7 linked regions of the Oryctolagus cuniculus genome follow. The main gene of each other region encodes a partner of the protein of the gene in region 3 in a complex. Links are inferred from orthologs where the notes say so. Each region holds a gene or a part of one and is shown on either strand. Other genes may lie near its edges.

Evidence for each region.
Region 1: MED21 (region 3) and CCNC share a complex: the UniProt entries of both Homo sapiens proteins name them as parts of the mediator complex. The link is inferred for Oryctolagus cuniculus from reciprocal best matches to the Homo sapiens genes MED21 and CCNC.
Region 2: MED21 (region 3) and MED31 share a complex: the UniProt entries of both Homo sapiens proteins name them as parts of the mediator complex. The link is inferred for Oryctolagus cuniculus from reciprocal best matches to the Homo sapiens genes MED21 and MED31.
Region 4: MED21 (region 3) and MED16 share a complex: the UniProt entries of both Homo sapiens proteins name them as parts of the mediator complex. The link is inferred for Oryctolagus cuniculus from reciprocal best matches to the Homo sapiens genes MED21 and MED16.
Region 5: MED21 (region 3) and MED4 share a complex: the UniProt entries of both Homo sapiens proteins name them as parts of the mediator complex. The link is inferred for Oryctolagus cuniculus from reciprocal best matches to the Homo sapiens genes MED21 and MED4.
Region 6: MED21 (region 3) and MED8 share a complex: the UniProt entries of both Homo sapiens proteins name them as parts of the mediator complex. The link is inferred for Oryctolagus cuniculus from reciprocal best matches to the Homo sapiens genes MED21 and MED8.
Region 7: MED21 (region 3) and MED13 share a complex: the UniProt entries of both Homo sapiens proteins name them as parts of the mediator complex. The link is inferred for Oryctolagus cuniculus from reciprocal best matches to the Homo sapiens genes MED21 and MED13.

Annotation. Positions count from the first base shown.
Region 1 is NC_091436.1:72,156,737-72,160,862, reverse strand, and holds the start of CCNC (cyclin-C), read right to left. Parts: upstream 2,801-4,126; 5' UTR 2,513-2,800; coding exon 2,481-2,512; intron 1-2,480. UniProt on the Homo sapiens protein: Component of the Mediator complex, a coactivator involved in regulated gene transcription of nearly all RNA polymerase II-dependent genes.
Region 2 is NC_091448.1:49,926,482-49,930,767, reverse strand, and holds the start of MED31 (mediator of RNA polymerase II transcription subunit 31), read right to left. Parts: upstream 2,801-4,286; 5' UTR 2,572-2,800; coding exon 2,544-2,571; intron 1,543-2,543; coding exon 1,465-1,542; intron 1,250-1,464; coding exon 1,153-1,249; intron 1-1,152. UniProt on the Homo sapiens protein: Component of the Mediator complex, a coactivator involved in the regulated transcription of nearly all RNA polymerase II-dependent genes.
Region 3 is NC_091440.1:124,254,533-124,258,701, forward strand, and holds the start of MED21 (mediator of RNA polymerase II transcription subunit 21), read left to right. Parts: upstream 1-1,369; 5' UTR 1,370-1,570; coding exon 1,571-1,612; intron 1,613-3,987; coding exon 3,988-4,102; intron 4,103-4,169. UniProt on the Homo sapiens protein: Component of the Mediator complex, a coactivator involved in the regulated transcription of nearly all RNA polymerase II-dependent genes.
Region 4 is NC_091447.1:58,469,058-58,472,557, forward strand, and holds the end of MED16 (mediator of RNA polymerase II transcription subunit 16), read right to left. Parts: intron 3,446-3,500; coding exon 3,234-3,445; intron 3,136-3,233; coding exon 2,929-3,135; intron 2,436-2,928; coding exon 2,225-2,435; intron 2,028-2,224; coding exon 1,894-2,027; intron 1,802-1,893; coding exon 1,609-1,801; intron 1,372-1,608; coding exon 1,155-1,371; intron 975-1,154; coding exon 891-974; intron 555-890; coding exon 428-554; 3' UTR 260-427; downstream 1-259. UniProt on the Homo sapiens protein: Component of the Mediator complex, a coactivator involved in the regulated transcription of nearly all RNA polymerase II-dependent genes.
Region 5 is NC_091440.1:67,125,663-67,129,860, reverse strand, and holds the start of MED4 (mediator of RNA polymerase II transcription subunit 4), read left to right. Parts: upstream 1-1,398; 5' UTR 1,399-1,479; coding exon 1,480-1,604; intron 1,605-4,198. UniProt on the Homo sapiens protein: Component of the Mediator complex, a coactivator involved in the regulated transcription of nearly all RNA polymerase II-dependent genes.
Region 6 is NC_091438.1:129,634,664-129,638,748, reverse strand, and holds the start of MED8 (mediator of RNA polymerase II transcription subunit 8), read right to left. Parts: upstream 2,801-4,085; 5' UTR 2,693-2,800; coding exon 2,687-2,692; intron 1,438-2,686; exon of another isoform or gene 1,419-1,437; coding exon 1,300-1,418; intron 1-1,299. Other genes in the region: KICSTOR complex protein SZT2, read left to right, coding at 2,886-2,912. UniProt on the Homo sapiens protein: Component of the Mediator complex, a coactivator involved in the regulated transcription of nearly all RNA polymerase II-dependent genes.
Region 7 is NC_091448.1:35,497,117-35,500,616, reverse strand, and holds part of MED13 (mediator of RNA polymerase II transcription subunit 13), read right to left. Parts: intron 2,180-3,500; coding exon 1,956-2,179; intron 483-1,955; coding exon 293-482; intron 1-292. UniProt on the Homo sapiens protein: Component of the Mediator complex, a coactivator involved in the regulated transcription of nearly all RNA polymerase II-dependent genes.

The sequences.
Region 1 (4,126 bases), on a different chromosome or scaffold from region 3:
AGTAGAAAAAAAATGGCATGCTGAGTTCAGAAATGATGTGAGAAAGTTCATCTTTTTTTTTTTTTTTTTTTTGATAGGCAGAGTTAGACAGTGAGAGAGAGAGAAAAGTCTTCCTTTTCCATTGGTTCACCCCACAAATGGCCGCCGGCGCGCTGCGCCAATTCAAAGCCAGGAGCCAGGTGCTTCCTCCTGGTCTCCCATGTGGGTGCAGGGCCCAAGGACTTGGGCCATCCTCCACTGCCTTCCCGGGCCACAGCAGAGAGCTGGACTCCAAAAGGAGCATCCGGCACAGAATCCGGCACCCCAAGCGGAGGATTCGCCAAGTGAGCTGTGGCGTCGGCCGAAAAAGTTCATCTTAAGAGGCTTGAAACAGAACTTCTGCCCCCTTGTTCATTAAATTCACCTAAAACGACGGCCTTTTATAATCTTGTTTATCTGGAATTATCTTGTTTTTCTTGCTCATTACCCTTCAAAAATCTGACATTCCATGATTCTCAAGGTATAAGAATAAGACAACCAAGACTCTTTTAAATGGGAGGCAAAGACAATTTTTAAAAAGCATGTTTAATTTTGTATTCAGAAAGTGAAAGATTGGCCGGCGCCATGGCTCACTTGGCTAATCTCTGCCTGCGGTGCCGGCACCCCGGGTTCTAATTCCGGTTGGGGCGCTGGGTACCAGTCCTGGTGGCTTCTCTTCCAGTCCAGCTCTCTGCTGTGGCCCGCAAGTGCAGTGGAGGATGGCCCAAGTCCTTGGGTTCCTGCACCCGCATGGGAGACCAGGAGGAAGTACCCGGCTCCTGGCTTCGGATCGGTGCAGCACTGGCCGTAGCAGCCATTAGGGGAGTGAACCAAAGGAAGGAACTGTCTATAACTCTCTCTCTGTCTCTCTCTCACTGTCTAACTCTGCCTGGCAAAAAAAAAAAAAAAAAGTGAAAGATTGAGGCTGGCACTGTGGCATAGTGGGTAAAGCTGCCGCCTGCAGTGCCAGCATCCCATAGGGGCACAAGTTCAAGTCCTGGCTGCTCCCCTTCCGATCCAGCTCTCTACTATGGCCTGGGAAAGCAGTGGAGGATGGCCCAAGTTCTTGAGCCCCTGGCACCCATGTGGGAGACCCAGAAGAAGCTCCTGGCTTCTGGCTTCGGATTGGCACAGCTCCGGCTGTTGCAGCCAACTGGGGAGTGAACCAGATGGAAGACTTATCTCTGTCTCTGCCTCTCCTTCTCTCTCTGTGTGACTCTTTCAAATAAATAAATAAACCTTTAATAAAAAAAAAGTGAAAGGATAACTTTTTTATAATGCCAACAGTAAATAAAAGCACTTTTTAAAAAAGGATTTTTCACCTTAAAAAAGAGGAAGGGGAGCACTATCTTTTTAAGTTGAAGAAGTGACAATCAACAGCTAGCTACCTGTAAATTCTCTCAGCTTCTTTCAAACAGAATCTCTTCTCCACTATTTACCGTTTGTAAACTTTAACTTTGCCCAAGAAAATATTTCAGTGACAACAATGTAAAACAAAAATATGAAAGGGAGGAAAGCCTCTACAGCACTTCATAGATCGACTGTACAACAAGAAAAGGCTTTTCTGAAAGTTAACAAGCCCATTGTTTTTCTTATGCAAATGGTTAAAAAATGAATAAAAACCGATTCTATTCACAGAAACAAAACGTAAGATACATTTACTAATGCTCTTAGAATGAAAAATTTACACTAAGATACCTTTATCAAGCTCAGTTCATTTTTGCACTACAAAGGAAAGCCTAGTCAATGTTCAAGTAGGTCTAACACGCACCTTCCCGTCTGCTTAAACAAACGTATTTAGGGACAAAGTTTTTGTATCACTCTAACACGCTCGTGGTCGCTGACAGAACACAAATTTACTCATTACAATCAATGAGAAATGCAGTTTTAAGATAAAATGTAAGACACAGATAAGGAAATGGATAAATTTTTAGAACATGAAACTCCACCTAGGCATAGTTACTGGAACCGATCACGAGCTAGAAATAAGCCTGCTTCCCGCCTATCCTCTGATTAATATCAAACCCACTCGACACAGAAGGTAAATGGCAAAGTACCACGAGGCCGATATCCTGAAGAAACCCCGGAGAAAAGGAAGCCACGACTCTGCGAACAGGCTGCCTCACGGTCCCGACCTCACACTTCCCCTACCTGTGCACACCTCGTGCTACCCGACTAGCTAATCCCAGATCCAAATCAAAGTCCTGAACCTTCCTTCTCCCACTCAACCTCCTTCCCCCAGCTTTCCCGCTCACAGATCCTTCTCCCGCAAATCCCGGCCGGCAGCCTGGGAGGAGAGTCGCCTCAGACAAGCGCACTTCACTCCCGCTGCTGCCGCCTCCCACTGGGACCTCACCGGCGCCGCGGACCGGCGCCGGGATCCACACGGAGGGGAGTTGCAGGCCCCGTTCTCACCAACCCCTAAGAACCAGCACCGGCCGAGAACGCGGAAGATCACTTACTAGTGGGAGCTCTGCCAAAAGTTCCCTGCCATGGAACACAGCTTGCCCTGATAAAAAAGCACCAGCCGGCGGAGCGGCCCGCGGAGCGACCATAGACCCAGCCCGTCCGGTAACCGCGCTCCTAGATCGGATCAGCTCAGCTTGGCTCAGCGGCGGCTACGGCGAGAGGAAGAGGATGGATCCCTATTCTTTTTGACGCCGGCTGGCAACACTCAACCAGTAAACCCGTTCCTACAGACAAAAGTTCCGGCCCGTCCTGCAGTAGTTGAGGAAGCGAGGCGTCAGACGGGAACAAGTCCTCGGGAGGGCTTGCGTCGGTCGGAAAGCTCTCGCGAGAGTTTCGTGCCGGTTCCGGCTCGGAACCCGCGCAACCTTTGTGTTCTGTTCTCGCTGGATTTGCTGAATGGAGAGATCTTGGAGCAAGCGCCCAGTTTATAATTTTGTGGTCCATCTTTCAGGTATCCAAAAAGACATAATGACTTTATAACAAAGTACACGATTTGTTGACTTCCCTTTTTCCTGCGCTTGGAAAGAGAAGTGAATCATGATTTTGACTCCATCTATCAAGCGTTCTTAGTTTCTAGCAGACAAACGGTTTATTTATGTAAAATGCAGTTCCAGAGACAAAGAGATGCCTTGCCACCCTGCTTCACTCAAGTGGCTGCAAGGGCCGCGGCTTGCACCATGTCTAGGCAGGTGCCAGAATCTTCTTTCAGTTCTCCCACGTGGATGCAGGGGCCCAGGGACCTGGGCCACCTGCTGCTTTCCCAGGCACAGTATTGGAGGTGGAGTAGCTGGGACGCAAACTGGTGTGCCCTACCCCACAATGTGTTATTTGTTTTGTTTTGTTTACAGGCAGAGTTAGTGAGAGAGACAGAGAGAAAGATCTTCCTTTTCCGTTGGTTCACCTCCCAAATGGCCACTACAGCCGGCGCACTGCACCAATCCGAAGCCAGGAACCAGGTGTGCTTCCTCCTGGTCTCCCATGCAGGTGCAGGGCCCAAGGACCTGGGCCATCCTCCACTGCACTCCGGGGCCACAGCAGAGAGCTGGACAGGAAGAGAAGCAACCAGGACAGAATCCAGCCCCCCGACCTGGACTAGAACCCAGGGTGCCAGCGCTGCAGGCGGAGGATTAGCCAAGTGAGCCGCCGGCGCCAGCACCCACAATGCATTCTTTTTTTTTTTTTTTTTTTTTTTTGGACAGGCAGAGTGGACAGTGAGAGAGAGAGAGAGAGAAAGGTCTTCCTTTGCCCTTGGTTCACCCTCCAATGGCCGCCGCAGCCGGCGCGCTGATCCGATGGCAGGAGCCAGGTACTTATCCTGATCTCCCTTGGGGTGCAGGGCCCAAGCACTTGGGCCATCCTCCACTGCACTCCCGGGCCACAGCAGAGAGCTGGCCTGGAAGAGGGGCAACAGGGACAGAATCTGCTGCCCGGACCGGGACTAGAACCCGGTGTGCCAGCGCTGCAAGGCAGAGGATTAGCCTAGTGAGCCGCGGCGCCGGCCAGCAGTAGTGTTTTAATTCCAAAGAATCACCAGTTTGGGAAACATCTAAAAATATGTAAGCACATATATATTTACATGTATGCACATATATGTTCCAAAAAGAAATGTACTGAAAAATGTCACTTTACAAGATGAAAT
Region 2 (4,286 bases), on a different chromosome or scaffold from region 3:
GCTCAAGTATTTGAGTCCCTGCCACCATATGAGAGATGCAAGCTGAGTTCCTGATTCCCAGCTTCTGGCCTGGCGCAGCCATGGCTGCTGTGGGTATTTGGGGAGTGAACCAGCAGATGGGCGACTTCTTTCTCTCCCTCTGTCTGCCTTCCAAATAAAATAATTTTTCAAAAAATTTGAAAAGCTTCACCACTGCTTTCCAACCACCTGGCTAATACTAAGCAAAGTAGTAAGTGCAGCCTTCCGCATTGAAAGGGAATAGGTTTCTGGTCATAATATGCCCCTTGCAAATGTAATTGGCCTTCAAGTCAAAGTGTCTCTGGAACAACTTGAATGGCAAACACACATACACGTAGTTCAAAAAGTTTGTGGAAAAACCTGAATTAAAAGCTTATTTGGATATAAAAAGCTTGTAGTCTATACTTGGTTATTTCATATTACACAATTTTTCAAGAACTTCTGGAAATCCCTTACACATGGACTCCAAAAGTTTTTTGCACCAATACAAACTCGTCTTTTGGATCCATTTTCCATTTACTTTTTGAAGGACCGGCATGTGTACGGAAACAGTTGTGAGTGTGCAGTGTTTTTTAGTTATTGAATGCAAAGCATTTGGGCACAAAGATCGCTGCTGGAAGACACAGTGACATCCTCCACATCTTCCTCACAGGTACTTCTGTGTGATCTTTTATTATCAGTCAATGGCTATGTTGCTGCATGTGAGGACCAGAGTCCTTCAGACCAGAAACCCAGAGAAATGGGGAGACTGGTAGAGAGGAGGTCAAGAAGACTGGGCCAGATGCGGCCGGGCCGCAGACTTCACTGCCAGGAAGGGAGGGCCCCCCAGGTCTAAGGAACAGACAGCATGTTCTAAGCTACAGTTCCCAGGGACCACATCGGCTTCTGGGTAGAAAATCGCGTTGCTTTATTGGCTTTGGGTGAGGTAGTGAGGAAAGAGCAGAAAACAGAGCCAACAGTGAGTGATTTCTGCAGGAATCCAAATTAAGAGGTAGGCAGTGACAACCGAACGCGCAGAACGTGCAGATTCAACATACATTTTTACCAGTGTGAAACTAAGAAGTATTTACGTATCCACGTTTTGGGTTTTAGTAAAACATACATACACCGAGGATTACAAAAAATTAAACTTACTTTAGATACTTGGCATATTCTGGTTCTTTCCAGTACAGCAAGTACTTAAGATAATTAACAAACGCTTTGTCTTTGAAGTAACCTCTTTGAGCAAGAACTGAAAGGCATAAAAAAAAAAACAAAACCTAGGTCAGACGGATGCTTGGACTACCACCAGCCCACAAGTCCTAGTTTGCTCAGTTACAGCTACAGAATTGCTTTAAGTGCAATTCTATTCAATTGAGAATATATAAAAGTAGATACTATTAGGAAATGCAACTCTTGTCAAAAAATCATTAATAGCTATTCAATTTAATTAGGTGAACAACTTACAATTAAGGTAATTTGGGTTGGCTAAACACTGTACAAATTCCAACTCTAACTGAAACCGAAGTCGATTTCCAGCATCATCTAGGAGAGAAGACAGCAAAAATCATCCAAGACAAAGGTCGCTAAATACAACACCGATGGGTCGAAAGGAAACAGCAGCCAGGAAACCTGCGTAATGCTGAGCTACACTTCTGGGAGGCATAATTCCTTAGGAACCTAAGAAAAGGAGAACTCTGATTAAGGCAGCTAGAAACCCCTCTAACGTTGAAGAGAAGTCATCAGAGACAAGGGGAACACAGATGCGGCAGGAGACCTCCCTCGGTGGGTCACTGGAGCCATCTCAGCAGTGAGTGACCGGGTATGGGGTGACAGTCTACCTCCCTGTATTTTATTAATACACTGTAGCTACTGTCGATGGCGGTGAGGAGCTCCGAGTGCGAGCTAGGAGACTGCGGAGCGCCGGAAGACCCCGAATGGCAGCATCAGTGGCAGGATAACGCAAGTTGGTCCAGGGCGCCCCAAACTCATGCAAGCTCCCGCGGAAGCAGACCCAAGTGCTGTCTGGTGACACGACTGTCACTTTCAGCCCCTGTTTATGCTCCTGGTGGTCTTCCTACTTTTGACTGGCTCTATATTACGGTTCGTGGTGAAATAAGCCGTTATTATAGACTGTATCAAATTTATGCCTTGGCAACAAAAAAAATGAAAAGTAGGGGAGGGAACGCGAGTGGGGGGAGGAGGAGAGAGGGAAGTATGGGTCTCCTGGAACTGTACCTATGCAATCTGTTCTCTTTATACTAGTTTTTGTTTTTTTTTTAAAGAAAAGATTCCAGTGCTGTCCCTCAGTCTCACCCACGCTGGGACGAAGGTGGGGTCGCTGAGTGAACAGCAAGCGGGGAGAAAACATGTGCGAAGCCACCAAACTCTGAAAAAGGCAAAGCTGCCGGCACCTTCCCAGATGCTCCAAGAGCCCTCTCGCCTCCCGGGTCCCACTCCAAGCCCCTTCCGTTAGGCCTGAAGGAGGCCCCGGGCAGGCAGGAGAAGGGGTCCGGGCGGAGCGCACGGCTCAGAGCGCGACTCACCTGTCTCCATGGCGACGGCGGCGGCCATAACAAGGAACGACGCGAACTCTCACCAGCTCGGCAGAGACTCTGCCCAGTCTGGCTGGGGAAGTTCCGGAAGCCTCAGCACCCCGCTTCCGGCCCCGGGGCACTGTGGGATACGGGGGCGGGCCCAGCCGCGCTGGGAGGACAGCGGTTCCGCCCATCGCTGCTGGCTCCGCCCGCTCGGGCTCCTGAGCCGGGCGCTGCGGCCCGGGGAGCGCCGTATTTGGAGGTGTTTCACGTCAGCGTGTAGTGGCATTGCCGCCTAGGAGGCAGGTCGCTACTGTGACGTCATTTCTCACCTCGTGACGTAGCGTAGAGGTGTGCTGAGCGGTCCCCTCAACACCTATAGAATGGCCTCGGCCCTTGGGGGAAAGCCGTCCTCACCCCAGTGTGGACACCTCGCCTTCCAGGAAGCGGCGCCCTCGTGCCCTCCCGAGTGCTCAGGGCCTCGTCAAAGCGGCTGGAGGCGAGGCTGCCTACTGTGTCCAGCCGGGTCCCCCAGTCGCCTTTGGCTTCCTGGAGGCAGCCCACATGTCGGTGTGAGAAACAGCCCAGCCGCGGTTCCTGGGTTCCTGCGCGAGCCGCGCCCTGGGCCTCCCCACGCGTGACAAAGCCCGCACGCGGGGCTGACGGGCAAAGAGGCGGAGAGTGGTGGTATAGAGGGATGGACGGGGAAGGCCTTGCTGGTTAGGCCACAGTGGAGCTGAGACCTGTGTGGTGACACCGAGCGCCCCACCCCCACCCGGGGGTCTCAGCGGAGTGCACCCTAGGCCGGAGGAAGAGAAGTGCGAAGGGTGTGTGGGAGCAAGCTTGCAACGTTCCCCGAGAGAAGAAGGGAGAGCTGGGAGCTTCGTGTGTGAGAGGCAGAGAGGGGACGGCAACAGGCAGGACCAGTTTCTAGAGGGCCTTTGAGTCACCACGGGAACTCAGGTTCTAGTCTAACAGGAACACGCTGCATAGTTTTCGGCACAGGACTGACATGATGCAACCGCATTTTTAAAATACCTTCTGCCTTCCGTGTGGGCTGCAGAACAGTTGTTCTCATCCTGGAGGGGGGGGGGAGGATTTTGTCCCCCAGGGGATACTTGGCGATGTTTAAAGACGTTTGTGTTAGGTACAAGGAGTGCTGCTGGCAAGTCGTGGGTAGAGGCCAGGGATCCCAGCACCAAAACCACAGAATCACGGGGCCTAACGTGTCAGTGGTGCCCAGTTGGAGACGCGCTGCAGCTGGGAGAGGAGAGGCCTGGGAGAGGCTCCAGAGGAGGGTGGGAGGCCGTGCCCTCCCCTGGACAGTGTGTGTGTGTGTGTGGGGGGGGGGTGTCTGTTGCTTTTTGACCCTGCCTTGCAGTCAGTGATTTACCCAGCAGGACAAAGGGGTCTTCCAGCAGGCCAGCGATGGCCCAATTGTGTCTACTACTGGGAGCAGAACATCTGCCATTTCCAGTCCATACTCGGGCTCCTACATGTAAAGGCAGGGCAGTGAACCGGGCCATCCCCTGGAATAGGGGCTCAGGCCAGGAGAAGTCATAAAGCCCCAGAGGCTACCATAAAACTGCTGCAACCCAGTCCTTAGACTTGGGAGTTGCAGTCTGTGGTGAGCTTACTGATTCTTTTTTTTTTTTTTTTTTTTTTTTTGACAGGCAGAGTGGACAGTGAGAGAGAGAGACAGAGAGAAAGGTCTTCCTTTTGCCGTTGGTTCACCCTCCAATGGCCGCCGCG
Region 3 (4,169 bases):
TGGCCCAAGTGCTTGGACCCCTGCACCCACGTGGGAGACCTAGATGGGTTCTAGTCTTTACTTCTGCTTTTATCAAGGTCAACACTCTAGTTCAGGCCCTATTCATCTCACATTTGGGCAAGTGTAGAACTCCTAGCAAGTCCCTGACCTTTTGCCCCTTGCAAACGCAGCTTCCATGGCACGGTGCAACATTCGGTACGGTATACTCTCAACTGGTACAAGAAAGCTACAGACTGCTCCAAACTACAGTTAAAGCAAATGAGAGTCACTTGGCATTGGTACCATGATATGGGAAGTGTCTCACCTGTGTGGTTCCCCCAGCAGGTCAGGTCTATTGACGCAGAGGTGGGGCTTCCCAGAAAGGGCCGGGCTCAGTCCTGCAAGCTGAGTTCCCCAAGGACTGTCTCCCCCACTGCCATGCTTTGAATGTGTCTGCCGCATTCATGCATCTAAGGAATGCACCAGAAGGAGCTGTCACACCAAGTCATATATCTGCAGCAGACAAGGAGACCACAAGGAGTCATTTCCAAAGCCGTGACTCTGTGAGCAGGGGAGAGGGAAAGATGAGCAGGTAAGAGGGAGGTTCTGATCACACCTGGGGGTGGGTACAGGTCCATGAAGGTACAGTTTGGAAGAATGCTCCAACACTGGCTGCACCATACGGCAGCACAGCTCACACTCCCCCTGGGGTGGAGCTCTTAGTGTTAACATGAAGCAAAAGGTGAGGTGTGGATACTCTGTGACCCGCCTGCGCCGGCCTTGCTCCTGCAGTAGGGTCCCGAGCAGTCCAGGATAGCTAGGGAACTGCATCTCTCTCTGGCATGTGACAGCAAACCTGAACTACATCAGGTGCCTTTGAGATGTGCAAGTAGAGATGAGTCAGTTGACAGTTTCTGAGCTGTGCAGGGCAGTGATAGGGAAAGGTGACTCGGCCCTTCTGAGTGGATTAATCCACTGGATTACTGGGGTAGCCCTGGGCAGGCGGTGGGTGTGTGGCATGGTGGCTAAGGCACTGCTTGGGACAGCTGCATCACAGGGCTTGAGTTCGAATCCCAGCTCTGCTCCTGATTTTAGCTTCTGCTAGTGAGCACCAGATAGGCAGCAGGTTATAGCTGGAGTGGTTCCCAGGTGGGAGACCTGCACTGAGTTCCAGGCTCTGGCTTTGGCCAGGCTCAGCCCCTAGTTGCTGCAGGCACTTGGAAAATCAATCAGCAGATAGAACTTAATCTGCCTCTCTAATAAAATGACAATATATAAATAAATTTTTAAATACATGGGAAAGTAGGACAAACCACTAAATAATCCCACAGAATTCAACGATCTCGGTAAACAGCTGACCACCTCACAACCTGAAAGGGAGCCCAGTCGCGCAAAGGATGCCGGGCCCCAGCCGCTGCAGGTCCAGGTAGCTCACCCGGCGTTCTCCCCGGCACCCGCCCCTCCTCGCGGGGCGTGTCCTCCATGACCCCACCCCTTCCGGAGAGCCGCACTCTGATTGGCCGTGACCCGTACGAAAGCTGGCCAATCGCGTAGGAGCAGCTGCTGCAGCGTCTCTGCGTGCGGGAGGAACATGGCGGACCGCCTCACACAGCTGCAAGACGCCGTGAACTCGGTAGGCGCTTTAATTCGCTTACTTGCGGTCTGCCTCATTCCTGAGGTAAAACGGGGGAGGAGAAGAGGCCCGAGACGCAGCCTTCGGCGGTGGCGAGCAGATGGAGGCGGTGCCTCTGCGAATTCGGGGCGTTCGAGGCCGGCCGCGGGGGCCGCGGAGGGAGCAGCCCCTTTGCCCGGCGGCGGCCTCACGGGGCTCGCCGGACACTGGTGCTGGGGGCGGGAGGAGAAGAAAGCAGACGCGGTTCTCTGCGTATACCTCGGCCCCGGGGCCCTGGAGACTGCGTCTCGGTGCGACGCCTTAGCCGGGCTCCGGTACTTCGAGGGGCGGGAGCAGGAGCGGTGGCGCCTGGAGAAGTTGTGTTCGCTCCCTCAGGCGGGGATGGCGAGAGCTGACGTCTGGAAGCTTGTGAACCTTGTGTCGGGCGTTGAGGTCCCTGGGTTTGAGAAGCGGCTCCCCTGGCGTTGTCCCTGGCGATGCTTTGCACCTGAGAGTGCGTGCGAGCCCTAGGCCCTGGGCTTGGAGCGGCCGCTGGCTGCCCTGCCTGCTGGGGCTGCTGTCCCCGGGCGGGTGCCTGGGCGGGCACTGTGATTGTTCACCCCCCAGCCCTTGAAGCTGACGAGCCGAGCGCTTGCAGAGCGCCAGCGTGCTGTGAACAGCGCGGGAGCTTGCGAGGCTGAGCGGGCAGCCACCGAGTGTGGGTGACATCCTGCCAGGCCCTCGGGGAGCTTCTACACATGCTGGTGCTGGATGGAAGCCTTCCTTCGTGGCCTGGCCCCTGGAGGCGAGGCAGGGCGGAGGGAGTGTGGCCTCTCCCCCAGGGGGAGGCCTGCTGGTAGCTGGGGTCTCCAGAGAAGCCTTCAGGGTACGCCATGAGCGCCTGCTGTGTCGGAGCCCAATCGTAGTTCCAAAGGGACAGCCTGAAGGGCATAAGGATGATGTCACATACTCAGGGGACGTTTAAATGATGTAAAAACACTATGGGGTTAGGGAGTTAGAATGAATGCGGTGTTTTCAGCTGTCAGTGCTGAGTAAATTGGAATATGGAGCCATGCGCCCTGAAATACTGAATTATCGTAATCGTAATTATTCATGTCGTGTTCACCATATTTGTGTTACGGCTGTTAGGTTTATGTTCGTTTCTTGCCGTGGAGTTTTTTTCAATCACTGTTTGTTGAATGAACGTCTAAATGGATCTTGAAAGCTTGTGAGGGACAGTACAGATAGCCACTGTGTTGAAGGGTTTTTTGTGCGTTTCCGCTGTTTGTCCGGTTAATCAAACCAGGATTAGAATCTAGGTTTATATAGCTTCCAAGCTCTTCCCCCTCCATTGCAAATAGCAAACCAGCAAACTGATAACTAGCGAGTAACTGTGAGGGAGTAAAATGTGAAAAATGTTTAGGAAGAGCTGGCTGAGATTATTATTGAAAAGTTGGAAACCGCTTGCTGACCGCAGTGGAGTGAGCCGGCGGTTTTTGTGCAGGGGGGAATACGATGGGTAACCAGAGAACAGTGAGGGCGCGATTGCAGTAATTCTGGCAGGAGGTAAGTGATGGAACAGAAGGGGGAGAATGAACCATCCGCGGGATAGGAAGCTGGAAGGCATGAGGCTCTGGAATGAGACTGGTTGGCTAGGACGCTCTCAAGACCAGTTAGATACTTATCCGGGGAGCAGGTGACTTCGAGTCCGGCCATTGCAGTCATGGCGGAGAAGGGCGGTGGAAATGCTTCCTCACTGATGGGAAATAGGACTTGAGGTCTGAGAGGTCAGGCCTAGTGAGAGGATTGGTGGGGAGCTGTGGTCCCTGGTTGAAGATGGTAAGGCACTGGTTTCTCAGTCTTGAGAGCTGCTGAAGGAATACTTTAACAACGCGAGCCTTAGCACTGCATTAGAAAAGGCACCTTATTTCCCCTATTTCTTTGCCTTGTGAACACTGAGATCTCAGAAAAGGAATTGTATATGAGTAACACTTTTTTAAATTAAATCTGGGGCCATACGTGGAAAGTCTCGTTGCCTGTAATATTGGCACAAAATTGTCTTTATCATTCTGTTAGCTTCAGAAGACAAGAAAGATGATACAAGTTTGCATGGGCTGCAAAATTTTTTTGCATAAAAATATATTGATCTTTTAATTCCATTTTTACTGTCTCATCTAGATTGATATCAACACCACCTAGGTTGATACTAAGTTTATTTGCATGGTTGAAATATCTAATCATTGTTAACACACTGGCTTGTTTTATCCGAAATTACTCCTTTCTGATTCACTCCCCTGCTCAGAGAGCATTGTTTTGGGAAACTTGTTGCCATTACCAGCAAAAGCTTTAGACTTGATAAACTTTGTATAATCCTGACCTGTTTTCTCTGGCCCAAGCTTGCAGATCAGTTCTGTAACGCCATTGGAGTGCTGCAGCAGGGTGGGCCTCCTGCCTCTTTTAACAACATTCAGACAGCCATTAACAAAGACCAGCCTGCTAATCCCACCGAAGGTAAACAGCTTTTCTTGGCTTCCCTTTATTTGATTCTCGGACTTCGTGTAATCCTTTAAATTAGATT
Region 4 (3,500 bases), on a different chromosome or scaffold from region 3:
ATCTGTCCCAGGTCTCCCCCGTGGCTTCCCCAAGCGCCCACGCTCAGCTCCCGTGGGTCTGGGACGAGACGGGGTGTGGGGGAGGCGGTGACAGAACCCAGGAGACACACCACACAGGGCTGCGAGGGCCCCCTGCCCCGGGGCGGTCACCCCCTGGCTGCCAGGCTGTGAGGCGGAGGGGGCCGGGCAGTGAGCCGCGCCCCGCAGGAAGAGCCGTGGGGGGGCGGGGCCCCGGCACGAGTGAGGGGCGGGACACGGGCACAGCTGTGGGGGGTTTATTGGGCCAGCCCTTCCCCCTCCCCCACAGGCACAGGCGACCCGGGCAGTCACACGGGACGGCCATCTTGGGCAGGGCCCTGGCCGGCGGGCCGCCCTGTCGGGGGCTCCGTCCGCTCACGGGACGTTCCGCGGGGCGCCCGCGTCGGGGTCAGGGGCAGCTGAGGGGCAGGCGCCGCCACAGCCCCCCGCACAGGCAGTTCTTGATCCAGCGCTGCTCCCACTGCTTCACGGCCGTGGCCTTGTTGGGGGACCGCAGCATGGTGACGCAGCCGCACCTGCGGGCGGGCGGGCGGGGTGAGGCCTCGGGACCGCGACGCCGGCCCCGCCCCCAACACCATCCCGACGCCGGCCCCGCCCCCACCGCCCCCTGCCGTCCAGCACCACCCCTCCCACCCCCACCCCTCCTCCCACTGCTTCACGGCAGGCGCACCTGCGGACGGGCGGGGCGGGGTGAGGCCTCCGGGGACCACCCCGCCGCCCCCACGCCGGCCCCGCCCCCTACCATCCAGCGCCACCCCTCCCACCCCCAGCCCTGCTCCCTGCGCCATGGGGGCGGGGCCGCCCCCTCCCCTGCAGCCCCCCGGGGGGGGGCGGGCAGGGGCAGGGCTCACCTGGTGCAGGCCTTGCACTCCTCCGTGGGGTAGGCACCCAGGTGCAGCCTGCGCAGGTGGTCGATCTTGGGCTGGCCGGGGGCCCTGGGGCCAAGGGGGCGCGTGAGGCAGGGCAGGAGCCGCAGGTGGACGGCGCGGGTCCCCGGGACACAGGGCCAGACCCCCTCCCTCCCCCCGGGACTCCCGCACCCGGACACACACACGGGCACCTGGGCTCCCACACGCAGCGCGGCTGCCCCGAGCGCTCCCGGCACCCGCACGCACCTGACCAGGCCGTCCAGCTGCAGGGTGGGGGCGTTGCCGGGCAGGGTGGGCGCCTTCCCGAACTGCAGGCGCAGCGGCTGCTTGGGCTGCAGGCGGCTGACCAGGCCGTCGCTGACCGGCAGCCAGTCCAGCCCGGGGATGAGCAGCTGGCTGGGCAGCAGGCAGCACTCGTCCACCAGGGCCTCGTCCGGCTCGCTGGCCGGGCCCTCGTCACGGCCTGCAGGGATGCGAGTCGGGTCTGCCCCGGGCACGGCTCGCCCTCGCCCGCCTGGCTGGTGGCCGGGGCCCTGGGCAGTCCCTTCTCCCGCTCCGGCCCCGGCTCCACCCGTCCACTTGGAAAGCCCCGTGGGGGCGCAGGAATGGCCAGGCCGGGTCCCCAGAAACCGGACGCTGGGGGACGGAGGTGGCCGGCGAGCGGCTGCCCGCGGGGGGGGGGGGCGGGGGCGGGGCTCACAGCAGATCCAGAGCTTGGTGAGCAGCCGGAAGAGCAGGGCCATGCTGTCCTGGGTGTCGGAGGTGGCCGCGTAGACGGGCAGGCAGCTGGGCTTCAGCAGCCCCCAGATGCGGGTCACGACCATGAGCTCCCGCAGCATGCCCAGCGAGGCGCCGTCCCGCAGGAAGCTGTGGCCCGGCCGCAGCGGGGAGCCCTGCGGGGACAGCGGGTGCACCCTGCAGCGGCCGGGGGCGGGGGGCGGGGGGGCATGCCCGGCGTGCGTGTGCGCGTGCGCGCAGGGCGCACCTGGTTGGGCAGGCTGGCCAGCAGGTGGAGCACGAAGTCGCCCACCCACTGCAGCAGCTGCTGGAGCGCCTGCAGCGTGTTCATGTCCAGCACGAACTCCTCCGTCTTCAGGTTGATCATCACCTTGTCGATGTCTGCAAGGCAGGCGGGCCTCGCGCCGGAGCCAGCGGGCGGGGGAGGAGCCGCGCCGCCCCGCCCCTCCGGCCCCGCCCCTTCCGGCCCTCCGCCGGGGACGCCGGACCACCCACCCGGCCAGCCCGGCGAGCGCACCCCCCACCCCCGGCGGCCCACAGCGTGTCCTGCGGCGCGAGCGCCCGGCACGGCGACCCACCGACGTCGGTGATCTTGGCGCAGACCTCGGCCAGCCGGTCGCCGGGGCTCTTGTCGGGCGTGTTGAGGAAGTGGGGGCGCAGCAGGGACTTGAGGGTGGAGCTGACGGCGATGAGGAAGAGCTTGGTGTGGTAGTCGCACACGCGGGTCACCGTGCAGGGCGACAGCTTGCACAGCGAGGCCTTCATGGCCAGGATGCGGGTGGACAGCACCTGGGGGCGGGCGGCGTGAGCTCCCTCCCGGCAGCGCACGGCTGGGGGCCCCCCCGTTCCCGCAGTGCCAGCGCGGTGGCAGGGACCGAGTGGACGCTGGCTGGGCCCCCCCCTCCCGGTTCCCGCAGTGCCAGCGCGGTGGCAGGGACCGAGTGGACGCTGGCTGGGCCCCCCCCCGTCCCGCAGTGCCAGCGCGGTGGCAGGGACCGAGCGGACGCTGGCTGGGCCCCCCCCCCCGTTCCCGCAGTGCCAGCGCGGTGGCAGGGACCGAGCGGACGCTGGCTGGGCCCCCCCCCCCCGGTCCCGCAGTGCCAGCGCGGTGGCAGGGACCGAGCGGACGCTGGCTGGGGCCCCCCCCCCCCGTCCCGCAGTGCCAGCGCGGTGGCAGGGACCGAGCGGACGCTGGCTGCGTCACCCACGGCCTCGAACCGCAGCCGTGGACGGGCCGACGCCCGGCTGTCCCGGCGCGGTCTCCCCGCGCCCCCCGCCCCACCTGCTGCAGGGCCGCGCTCTGGCGCGTGGACTCCTCGTGCAGCCTCTCCACCAGGCTGGGCACCATGGCCGGCTGCACGTGCAGCAGGACGTCCCACCAGTCGTAGCCGGTCACCATGCAGTACTCCAGCAGGAAGAGCAGGTGCCGCAGGGCCAGGCTCACGTCCAGGGGGTGGCCCATGGAGGGCGAGACGCGCAGCAGGCTCAGCTGTGGGGGGGGGGCGTCAGGAGGGGGGGGCGGTCAGGAGGGGGCGGGGCCCCGCGGGGGGGGGGTCTGGGCCAAGCGCCGGCCCTGTCGGCCCTCACCTTCCCGTGGTTGTCAATGCCCACGAGGGCCAAGGACGTCCAGGAGAGCTGCATGGCCTTGAAGTGGACGGCGGGGCCCGTGGTGCGCGGGCGCTTGATGGCCGGCTCGTCCACGGAGCGCGGGGCCGCGGAGCTGTAGAAGACGGCCATGGTCTGCAGGGACAGCCGGTGCACGATGTGGACGCTGCCGTCCTGGAAGGCCAGGGCCAGCCCTGGGCGGGTGGGCGGGCAGGTCAGGGTGTGGCCGTGGCTGCCCGCGGCCTCCGG
Region 5 (4,198 bases), about 57 Mb from region 3:
AAAAAAACACCATGGAAGCAACCCAAACTTCCATTATTGGATGAACAGATAAGCAGAAGGTGGTATAGACAAGTAATGGAATATCAAGCAACTTCAAAAAGGGAACTCTGACACTTGCTACAGCATGGATGAAATTTGAGGACATTTTGCTAAGTGAAATAAGCCAGTGACAAAACAGACAAATAATGTATGATTCCACTCACACAAAGAAGCCGAACTCACAGAAACCAGAAGGATGCTGCTTTCTAGGGACTCCCTGGGGCGTGGGGAGGAATGAAGCTAGATTTGTTTTATGAGGTGTGAATGTTGCAGGCATGCCAATCTCAACTTTTATTCCAAGTTTTTGTCCCTGCAGAGGTAAGAATTCAAAACAGAGCAATACATACAGAGCACGAGGGAGAAGACGATTTATTGAAAGAGTGAATATACATTCTCGTGTGAGTGTGGGCATCCCTGCATGGAGAGATGCTTGTCATGAGTGGGCCAGAGTTGCCTAGGAGGAGAGAGAGGGCAAGGAGACCAGAGAAGGACCGTAAGTATGCTCCTGAAGCCAAAAAAGCAAAAAAGGAGTGTTTCCACATTTATCAGTCCCTTTTGTGAGGTACTGGGTGGTGCTCTGATAAGTATGCAAACAGCATGGAGTTCAGTGTGAGGCAGTTTCATGGTGCCTTGGCTAGCAACTTACCTTCCACGTGGTCATTATGGTTCCCTTCCTTCCTGATCCCTGATGAGGCAGGTGCATCATGGGAAAGGGGGCACACTGGGTTGACAGGTAAGGGGGAGGAGTTGCCATGCAGGGTTATGCAGAAATTCTGAGAAACTATTCCAGCTCAACTCTTTCTACCTAATCTTCATGCCTAGTTCCCCCATCATTAAAAAGAGTTTTCTAGATGCACAATAGTGTGAACATATTTAACGTCACTGAACTACACACTGAAATAGCTAAAACCGTGACTTTTACGTTTTGTGTATTTTGCTACAATGAAAAAAAATAGGATCACAAATGGTTTTGGTTCCTGTGCTGAAAAGCTTACTGCAGCTTCCAAGAGCCATGCAACAGGAAGGTTAGAACAGCATCATGGGAATGCAGACTGCAGAGACAATCCTGGGGAGACACCAGTCGAGTTTATGAAGAAACGGACATAACAGGTAGGCAAGTAGGTAACTCCCTGAAATGCTCAAAAACCGTTTGGGAGAAGCCTTCCATTGCTGCTTGAAAAACCAGAAGGCCCAGAAGAATCGGACTGAATCGCCCCCTCCAGTCTCACTCCTTGGGCGCTCCCTGGGTATGTAATGGAGAAGCCCGGCTGGTCCAGCAGATGGCGCTAACGCCCATAGTGCGCCTCCAGTCGCCTAGGCGGCGCTCTGGCGGTACCGCTCTTCCCTACGTCTCGGTGACCCTTCCTTCCGCTTCCCGAGCCCGCCTCTTCTCCCACTAGCGCGGAGGTGCGCCTGCGCTGGTTCCTGGCCCTGGGGAGCATGGCGGCGTCTTCGAGTGGTGAGAAGGAGAAGGAACGGCTGGGAGGCAGCTCTGGAGCGGCAGGCGGTAACAGCACGAGAGAGCGGTTGTTATCTGCGCTTGAAGATCTGGAGGTCTTGTCGAGGTAATGGCGCCGGCCTGAGAGCCTGGCTGGGGCTGGGCTGGGGGACTGGCCCCGGAGCCCGCCGCCGCCGGCCCTCTGCGCTCATTCCTGGGTCTCGGCGGGGAGGCCTGAGCTTGGGAGTCCCCGGTGCTTGAGTGTTAAGGATATGGGGTCTGCAGATCTCTGGGACTCTGGGCAACACTTTTTTCTTTGCCGTCAGAGAGAATTTTAGTCATGACAGCCACCCTGGAAGTCCAAGACGGCAAGAGCCAGAGCGAACCTTAAGAGGTCTCGCGTTGGGAGACTGGCACTAATGGGCTGCCCCTTGGGCGCCAAGCACTAGGAGACTGTCGTGAAGGGGAGGCTGGGTGCCGACGCGGAGGAGCCCGGGGTCAGGGAGAGACAGGTGGGTAAACAGTGCTGGTGCGGGGCTCGTTCTTGTCCGAGCAGTGCGTTGCGGGCCCGGGAGTGTAGTCAGGGCAGGCTTTGGTTGGAAAGAATGAATTCATCGGACTCAGCAGGTGGCAGGGAGGTGACATAGTGTGTGCAAACCTTGGAAGTCGGAGGCCCCAGGCCCTGGCGGAGTTGTAAGGTGCTGGGGATGGCCGCAGAGCAGCATGGGAGACGGGATGGGATCTTGTTCTGCAGGCTCTCAGTTTTCACGGTCGTCTTTCAAGTCGGGGCCTTCCTGTCTTCTGTGGTTAACCTGGATCTAAGTTGTGTTGTTTTTGCAGCCTGCCAAAAGTTTCTACTTTCTTTTGTACTTGATATACTTTGTCATTTTATACTGCTGAGCACCATCGTTATTTTAAAAAGCATCTCGCATCATTCTTCTTAAAAAATACTCGATAGCCCGTATAAGCAGAGTCAGGCCCAGTGTCGGGTTTCTGTCAAGGAAAGACCAGATATATGATTATGCTGTGGTGGTCCCTTAGGATTATAATGGAGCTGAAAAATGCCTGCAGCCTCGTGGCCTTGTTGCCCTCTGTGCTCGTGTTTGTGGTGACGCTGGTGTGAATGGGCCCACCTGCTGCCGGGGGCGTGAAAGTGTAGCACATACAGTTACACACAGCCCCTCATTCCTTTTCTTTAAGGTTACTTATTTGAAAGGCAGAGTTACAGAGAGAGGGAGAGAACGGGAGCGAGCTTTTCCATCCACTGGTTCACTCCCCAGATGGCTGCAAAGACCAGGGCTAGGCCAGGCCAAAGCATGGAGCCTGGAACTCTGCCGGGGTCTCCTGCCTGGGTGGCAGGAACACAGTACTTGGGCTGTCTTTCGCTGCTCTCTCGGCACATTAGCAGGAAACTAGATAGGAGGGGTATCTGGGACTTGAACCCGGAGCTCATATGGGATGCCAGTGGTGGCTTCACTGGCTATGCCATGATGCCAGCCCCCGTCCATAATTCTTGATAATAAATGACTGTTACTGATTTATGTATTTACTGTGCAATACTTTTCATTGTTATTTAGAGTTTATTCCTCCTATTACTTAAAATTTAACTGTTAAGCAAAGTGCCACATTCTGCTGGGAGCAGCCTCCTATACCTTGTTTTTGCTGGGAACTGTTGATTGCGTCAGGCCACAGCAGGTGGCCGCTCCTGTCTGGGTTTGTGTAAGTACAGTCACCTCACCGTGCATTTGAGGGATGCCTGACTACTTCCCATGTCACCGCCAGCTGTACTTCGTCAGTGCCATTCCTACTCTATCTCTAGCTGGCTGAATGATTGAGTTGTCTTTCAGCATCTGTCTCAAATGTCACCATTTCCGTAGCCAGCATTCTGTGACAGCAAATGCCGATCTGCTTACACTCAAGATCAGTACTTTGTCTTTGCTGTGAATTTAGCCCTTGCTGTACCATTACTTACCAATGTTAAGTACAACATTTAGTGATGTAATGAAAACCTAAAAACACGCAGACAACAGAAGGTAAATGGCTTATAAGCTTCATCCACTGTTTACATTGTAGTAGGATCACAAACAGGGCACCTGGAATTTTCGGTCAGCCATTGCTCAGTACAGGAAACAAACTCACAGGCACCAGGCAGCTGTCCAGGCTTTGCCTCCAAGTGTTTACAGACGGAGCATGTCCATCTTCGCTGGTTTAGTAGTTTATGGTGGAAAACTTGTCAGTTCCCTCATTAGCCAATCCTCTTAACATCAACATCCACATTATTTCTTAGTTAACAAAAAAAACACACTAGCAAGGTATTTAGTATGATGTTTCAGTTAAATTATTCACGTGTCTGTTCTGTGTGACATCATCTGTGAGACAGCTAACTGAATGCTCATTTAGTTCCTGTTGAGTTCTCACTGTTTGTAGTTGCTCAGCTCCAAGTTACCAACATAAAAGCTGCCTAGCCACTGCTGTTTTTTTTTTATTTTTTTTTTTTTATTTTTTTTTTTATTTTTTTTTTGACAGGCAGAGTGGACAGTGAGAGAGAGACAGAGAGAGAAAGGTCTTCCTTTGCCGTTGGTTCACCCTCCAATGGCCGCCGCTGCAGCCGGCGCACCGCGCTGATCCTGGCAGGAGCCAGGAGCCAGGTGCTTTTCCTGGTCTCCCATGGGGTGCAGGGCCCAAGCACCTGGGCCATCCTCCACTGCACTCCCTGGCCAT
Region 6 (4,085 bases), on a different chromosome or scaffold from region 3:
GACAAGTCCTCAGATTAGGAAAACTGAGACTGACCCCCAAAAGACTCATCCCCATCACGAGCCTCGGCAGGACCCAGACCTGGAACAGGAATGCGGGGTTAGGAAAGAGGGACACGCTTTCAGCTCCTGACGGAGGCAGAAAAAGGCAGTTCATTGTTTGAATGGGGTGAGAAACACTGGAAAACAGGAACCATGGCTATTCTATGACAAAAAAAATCAGAAACTGGGTGAAAGCCTCCTTTCTGCCGGGAAACAGGAGCCATACTTCAGCAGTAGGCTGGATCTAAAAGACAGCCACATTAGTGGCAAGAGATCCAGCATGGACTGAGATATAGTGGGAAGACCCACTGAGAGAGAACTCCTGACCAGAGATGAAAAGGGTAAGAATCAAAAGCGGCCAGCGCCACGGCTCACTAGGCTAATCCTCCACCTAGCGGTGCTGGCACACCGGGTTCTATCCCGGTCGGGGCACCGGATTCTGTCCCGGTTGCCCCTCTTCCAGGCTAACTCTCTGCTGTGGCCAGGGAGTGCAGTGGAGGATGGCCCAAGTGCTTGGGCCCTGCACCCCATGGGAGACCAGGAGAAGCAGCTGGCTCCTGCCATCGGATCAGCGTGGTGCGCCGGCCGCAGCGCACCAGCCGTGGCAGCCACTGGAGGGTGAACCAACGGCAAAAGGAAGACCTTTCTCTCTGTCTCTCTCTCTCACTATCCACTCTGCCTGTCAAAAAAAAAAAAAAAAAAAGAATCAAAAGCTAGAAAGAACGTGGCTGGGCCGGTGCCTTGGCTCACTTGGTTAATCCTCCACCTGCGGTGCCAGCATCCCATATGGGCACCAGGTTCTAGTCCCGGTTGCTCCTCTTCCGGTCCAGCTCTCTGCTGTGGCCCAGGAGGGCAGTGGAGGATGGCCCAAGTGCTTGGGCCCCTGCACCCGCAAGGGAGACCAGGAGAAGCACCTGGCTCCTAGCTTCGGATCAGCGCAGCGCCGGCTGTAGTGGCTGTTTGGGGAGTGAAGCAACGGAAGGAAGACCTTTCTGTCTCTCTCTGTCTATATCTCTACCTTTCAAATAAATAAAAATAAAATTAAAAAAAAAAAAGAAAGAAAGAAAGAACGTGGCTTGGGAAACTGGGCCGCTCTCTACTTCCTTGCCACGGAGGCCCTCAGCCAAACTTCACTTACTAAATGTTGGGAAACCAAGCTCTTTCCAAATTACCCGACATCTGCAAACTGATAAATGGTTACATCATCAGAGATGAACTACTCGTCAGGAGCCCTCCCCAGTTTGCCCTGGCAACCCTTACCAGGTTAGCCTGTCATACTCGTTCTCCAGCTTGTAAATGAAACTTCCCAGTGAGTTCTTCAGATCAGCCACTTGACTCAGCAGTGCATCTAATGACGCCTCCAACTGCTTCTCCTCCCTCTGCACCAACAGAGATGGGCTGGTTACCCAGAGAGATATGAGCATGACACCTTTAGAAGAAGGCTGAAAAGCGTCGGAGAGAGTATGCCAACCGCAGTTGGCTAACACCGGATCTCACTGGAATGACAGCCAGGTTATTTTCTATCTTTGGTATTTGGGTTACAGACAGCACCAACCCTTAGACCTTTCACCTGACCTTAAGTCCTCCTACCAACTGATTCTCGCTCTCACACCTCCAAATCCAGGCCTGCTTTTCCTCTGTATTGCACGTGCCCTACTCTCCCTTGTTGAGAAACTCCTGCCAGACATAATGCCTGGGATTCATCATCCTATGCACATTTCTGTGGCACGTGTGCCCTAGCTTCCTTCGTCCTAGAATCTGCCCTGTTCTTGTCAACAGCACAGCCCCTGCGAAATCTGCCTGGACATGAAGCTTTCTCTGAACCCTAGTTCTGCACGCCCCTGCCCCTCGCTCCTCATTCGTGCTTAGTGGGTGATGTTTCAACTTTCTCCTTTATTTCTGTGCCAATATTCCTGTGCCTCTTTCACAAGCTCAGCTGACCCAGAAGGACTTACTGAAACACTGCCCCATCCAAGAAGCAAAGCGACAAGTGAAAAGCAAAACCACCCACCCAGCTCACATGACAAGCAATGTCAAGTAGTGGGGGTCTGCAGGCATTCCCTTCCCACGGTGTGGGGGGGTATCTTCCGTTTTACTTCATTTCCTCCGTCTTAATAACTCTCAGGCACAGACTGGGAAAAATGATGCCAACCCCACACTGCGCCTGACAGGAGCATCATCTTGGGTTTCACCCAAGGTTTCAGTTGATAACAACTTAGCTTCTGGCCAGCTCGGCCCACAATTCCTTCACCCTTCGGGCTTCTCTCCGATTGCAGATTCGCCGTTACGTCTGCATCCAACAGCCTAGGCTGAGGCTTGAGCCAATTCATGTCTCTCTCGGGCCGTCTCCCTTGGATTGTATCTCGGCTTTCGCAAACTACATCCTGATGCTTTCCCAGCCCCAAACAAGCGGCGGCTGCCTCCGCCCTCCCGACTTTGCTAGTCTCTCCCCTGTCAGCGGACTCCGCCCCCACGTAGCATCCGCGCCGCTTCTCCACTTGGCCTCGTCTCCCCTCTGCCCTGGCCCCGCGTCCTCTTGCCTCCGCCCTCTCCTCTTCGGTCCAACTCCTAACTCTCCGCAGCCAGCCCACTCTCGCTGCGTTACCCAAAGACAGCTAGCTGCCACTAGGCCCACCCCGCTTCTCACCTGCATTGCGGCAGCCGTGGCAGCCGCAACCACTTCCTCTTCCGGTTTCCCAGTTTCTGAGGGTTTTGTCCACCAATCAAGGAAATCGGGGCTTGGCCCGCCCACCGACTTCCGGTTCCGGCCCGGTACTGAGGTAGCCAGGTCAGGGGTCACAGTGGATCTGCCTCACTGGCCCGGGCCGGCGCGGGAAGGCTGTGTGATGGCCTCGGAGCGCCCGGAGCCTGAGGTGAGGGGCGGGCGGGCGCAGAGCTGGGCCCTGAGACCCGAGCGGGAGGAGCGGGCGGTGCGGGCAGGCGCGACCTCGGCCTCCTGGCCGGCCGACGGCCGGGCCGCGTAGCGTCGGCAGGGACCCTTGCAGCCCCGCATCCCCGCAGTCCGTTCTTTCCTCCGGAGGCTGGAGGAGAAATGCTTCGCTCGCTCTGTTGTGCTTACTGAAATCTCTTCCGCGTCGCCGACTTGACCTAGTGACAGTGGTGTTAATAAACCCTGTGATTTGGTTCCTGTCGCGGTTTCAGTGCGCTGGACGGCAGCAGCCGGTGCGTGTCTTCAGACACGGGCGTGCAGTAAACAGCACGAGTTAATTTAGTTTTAGCACTCATGATGGGGAAAGCAGCTTTGGTTTTATTGGGGGGGGGGGGGGGCTTGGCTCGGAGTGAGACCCAGTTCGGATTTTAGCGCTGCTATTTAGCTCTCTCTGAAGCCTGGGGCAAGTCTTAACTTCCTGGATTCTGTTTCTTTGTTGTTAGTCTGTTGTGAGAATCACGTGTGTGAAGCCAGAAAAGGCTTAAGCTCTCTCTGTCAGATGCCAAGGACCATGCAAGCAACTTTACATACATTGTGTCATTCACGTTTGCACAATATCCATTCTCATTTTCAGAAAAGAAAACTGAAAAGTAAGATAGGTCAAGTGCTGTACATACGCCTGAGAGTAGCAGATTTTTGGAGTTAGAAAATCTGAGCATAAAATCCCAGATTTGGGTAGAGATGCCCAGCACTGTTGGAGAACATACCAACAGATGGGAACAGTGAGGAATGTGTGTAAGAATGCAAATAGGCCGGCGCCGCGGCTCACTAGGCGAGTCCTCCGCCTGCGGCGCTTGCACTCCAGGTTCTAGTCCCAGTTGGGGCGCTGGATTCTGTCCCGGTTGCTCCTCTTCCAGTCCAGCTCTCTGCTGTGGCTCGGGAAGGCAGTGGAGGATGGCCCAAGTGCTTGGGCCCTGCACCCGCCTGGGAGACCAGGAGAAAGCACCTGGCTCCTGGCTTCCGATTGGTGCAGCGCCGGCCGTAGCAGGCATTTGGGGGGTGAACCAACGGAAGGAAGACCTTTCTCTGTGTCTCTCTCACTGTCTAATTCTGCCTGTCAAAAAAAAAAAAAAATACAAATAGTATACCTTACCTG
Region 7 (3,500 bases), on a different chromosome or scaffold from region 3:
CAAAAGCATAGAAAATAGTCTTTAAATAAAATTTCCTCCTGCCTGATAGGAACCCTACATGAGGGATTAGTAAACTCTCTCTGTAAGGATTCAGATAATAAGTACTTTTGGCCTCACAACCCACACTGTCGGTTACATCTGCTCAGCTCTAAATTTGTAGCACAAAAACAGACAATATGCAAATAAAGGAAGATAACTGTGATCAAATTACAATTTTATTTATGAAAATAGCTGGTGGACAAGGCCACACTTGGCTAATACTGGTCTTACAGAATAAAAACAAATTGAATACCTAGGTCATATCTGCAGACTTGTGCATAAAGTTTGAGCTTAGAAAATGCTTCATTGTTACCATCAGCTGCCTGAGAAAACCATTCTGCTACCAACTTTTCTGATAGTTTCTTTGATGCAGTAGATCCAACTCTCATGATCCCATCCGTCAACAGTCGAGAAATCGGTCTATGTTGACCTAATCGACAGGACTATAAATATACATACAGAAAGCAAAAAAGTCAATGTACTACAGTATTTAGTATATTAAAGCATTTATGCTATTTTAAATAATCTTATTTATAATGAGCATTTTATATAACAATATCAGTAGTGAAATGGCACCACTAGTCTTCTTCCTTTAGAGATTCATTAAATTTTGTGAAAACTTAGACACCCCTAATGAAAAAGTATCTAAATAATAATACTGCACTAAAACCATTTACTCTGAATAATCAAAGTTTACAGAATAAAGAATGATGCAAAAAGCAGTCATTTTTTGTTATAGCCATACATCTATGCCAATTCATGTATATAAATACATATTCAATGTAAATTAAAATTTGGTATTGAAATACAGTTTCTCCCAGCTCTCCCTCTAGTTCTGTGGGCCACCAAATTTTCTAAGAAGCTCAATGACAAATAAGTTTATAACACGGGAGTAGGAAATTTACTGTGAATCACTGAAAGTTCAATATAATACACAAGATTTTCCCAAATCTATTTAATTATGGAACTTCTTGCTGGGAGGATTTTTTAGGACTTGTATTTAATTAACACTCCTTGGGGAATGTTTATTTATAAAACATATACAGCAGATCCACTGGTATTAAAAAGAAACTTACAAGGAAACTAAACTAGTATACACTAACAAATTCAGTTAAAGAAACTAAAAATGTACAGACTGGATTTTCATATATTTGTGGAAAAAAGTTGCAATACAGTAAAACCTTATGTCCTATGCGTAATTCTTAAAGTATACAATCATTGTGCACAGAGATGGATACAACATGAAAATTCTAACTTAAGAGATTTACTGAATTTCAAGTGCTGCCTCTGGTTGCCTTCAGCAGGGCCAAACCAAATGATTTCACAGGCTTTATATGGCTCGTGAGCCAGACCCTCCCCAACCCGTCCCATAGAATCAGTACGAGAAATTTTACAGAGGTTAATTTTTTTCTCCTAGCTATTTAACAATGCTTTAAATTGTTTTAGACATGGTTACTTTAAATAAAATATATAAGGGTATTTCAAAATTTTCATGGAAAAATGGAGTGGAAAGGTTAAGTTTATTTTTCATGCAAAAAATTTTGAAATATACATTTTTCATAATAATATATTTTCTGTGAACTTTTTGAAGATCCTGCAAACACAAGAATTGCACAATTTTTACCCCAAAATAAACAACTTTTAATTTCATTTTTACATAAAATTTCTGAAGTATCCTCATATATGCCTTCAATGTTTTTCCCCAAAAACAGATTTCTACACAAAACTAGCCAAGAGACTGAGTTAGAACTGCCAAAGGATTTAACTGGCTAGTGTTAGAAGTAAACACCTGGTCTGACATCATCATTACTCTGCCCCATTCACTGAAACTTCCCACTATACTTTCCATATAAGCATACAGATCATAAGGTAGTTTTAAAATGCCACTTTTTTTTTTTTTTTTAAACAATACCTACCTCATATATTGCAGTAAGATCTCTAAAAAAGCTTTTGGCTCCATTTAACAAGGCTTCATTTTCTGGACACAGTACAACATAGGCTATATCTCTTTGAGATCCATAGGGTTCCAGCATAAGTCTCTCCCAATAAGGGAGAGCAAATGGAGAAAGCACCAGAAAATCATAATCATAACCCAACAAAAACGTGGGGATTGGCAGTGGTTCTGGAGATTCATCAGTTCCTAGTTAAAAAGACATATTTTAAGAAAACACTTAAGAAAAGATTATCTTTTTATTTAAATGTCAAAAGTTAGTGAAGTAATTATTAGTAAAAATACTCAATTTAAAGAAAAAATACTTAAACCCAGAGACTGAGACTTTTCCAGTTAAGAATTTCTCAAACGGTCCTTTTTATAAAAAAAATTTATTTTACTTATTTGATAGAGTTAAAGGGGCTGGTGCCGTGGCACAGTAGGTTAATCCTCCTCCAGCGGCACTGGCATCCCATATGGGTGCCGGTTCTAGTCCCGGCTGCTCCTCTTGCAATCCAACTCTCTGCTGTGGCCTAGGAAAGCAGTAGAAGATGGCCCAAGTGCTGGGCCCCTGCACCTGCATGGGAGACCAGGAAGAAGCACCTGGCTCCTGGCTTCAGATCGGCGCTGCTCCAGCCATTGTGGTCATTTGGGAAGTGAACCAATGGAAGGAAGACATTTCTCTCTGTCTCTCCCTTTCATTGTCTGTAACTCTACCTCTCAAATAAATAAATATAATCTTTAAAAAAAAAAAAAAGTTACAAAGAGAGGTAGAGCCAGAGAGAGAGAGAGAGAGAGAGAGAGAGAGAGAGAGAGAGAGAAAGTACTCCATTCCACTGGTTCACTCCCCAAATGACCTAGGCGGCCAGAACTTAACTGATGTGAAGCCAGGAGCCAGGAAATTCTATCGGGTCTCCCACGCTGGTGCCAGGGCCCAAAGAGTTGGGCCATCTTCTACTGCTTTCTCAGGCCATAGCAAATAGCTGGATTGGAAGTGGAGCAGCCAGGACTTGAATTGGCACGCATATGGGATGCAGGCATTGCAGGCTGGGGTTTTAACCCACTGTGCCAGCCAGCCCCATCAAATGGCTTTTATAAAACATATCTGAGTACCTTAATTTAAACTAAAAAAACAATCTGAGGAGCTGGTACTGTGATGCAGTGGGTAGGGCTGCCACCTGCAATGCCAGCATCTCCTATGGATGCTGGTTTGTGTCCCAGCTGCTCTACTTCCAATCCAGCTCTCTGCTATGGCCTGGGAAAGCAGAAGGAGATGGCCCGAGTCCTTGGGCTCCTGCACCAGTAAGGAAGATCCAAAAGAAACTCCCAGCTCCTGGCTTCGATGGGCACAGCTCTGGCCGTTGTGGCCATCTAGGGAATGAACCAGCAGATGGAAGACATCTCTCTCTCTCTCTCTCCCCCACAACTCCTCCCTCCCTCCCTCCCTCCCTCTCTTTCTCTGCCTCTCTATGACTCTTTCAAATAAATAAATAAATCTCTTTTAAAAATCAATTTGAGTGAAAAATCCAGA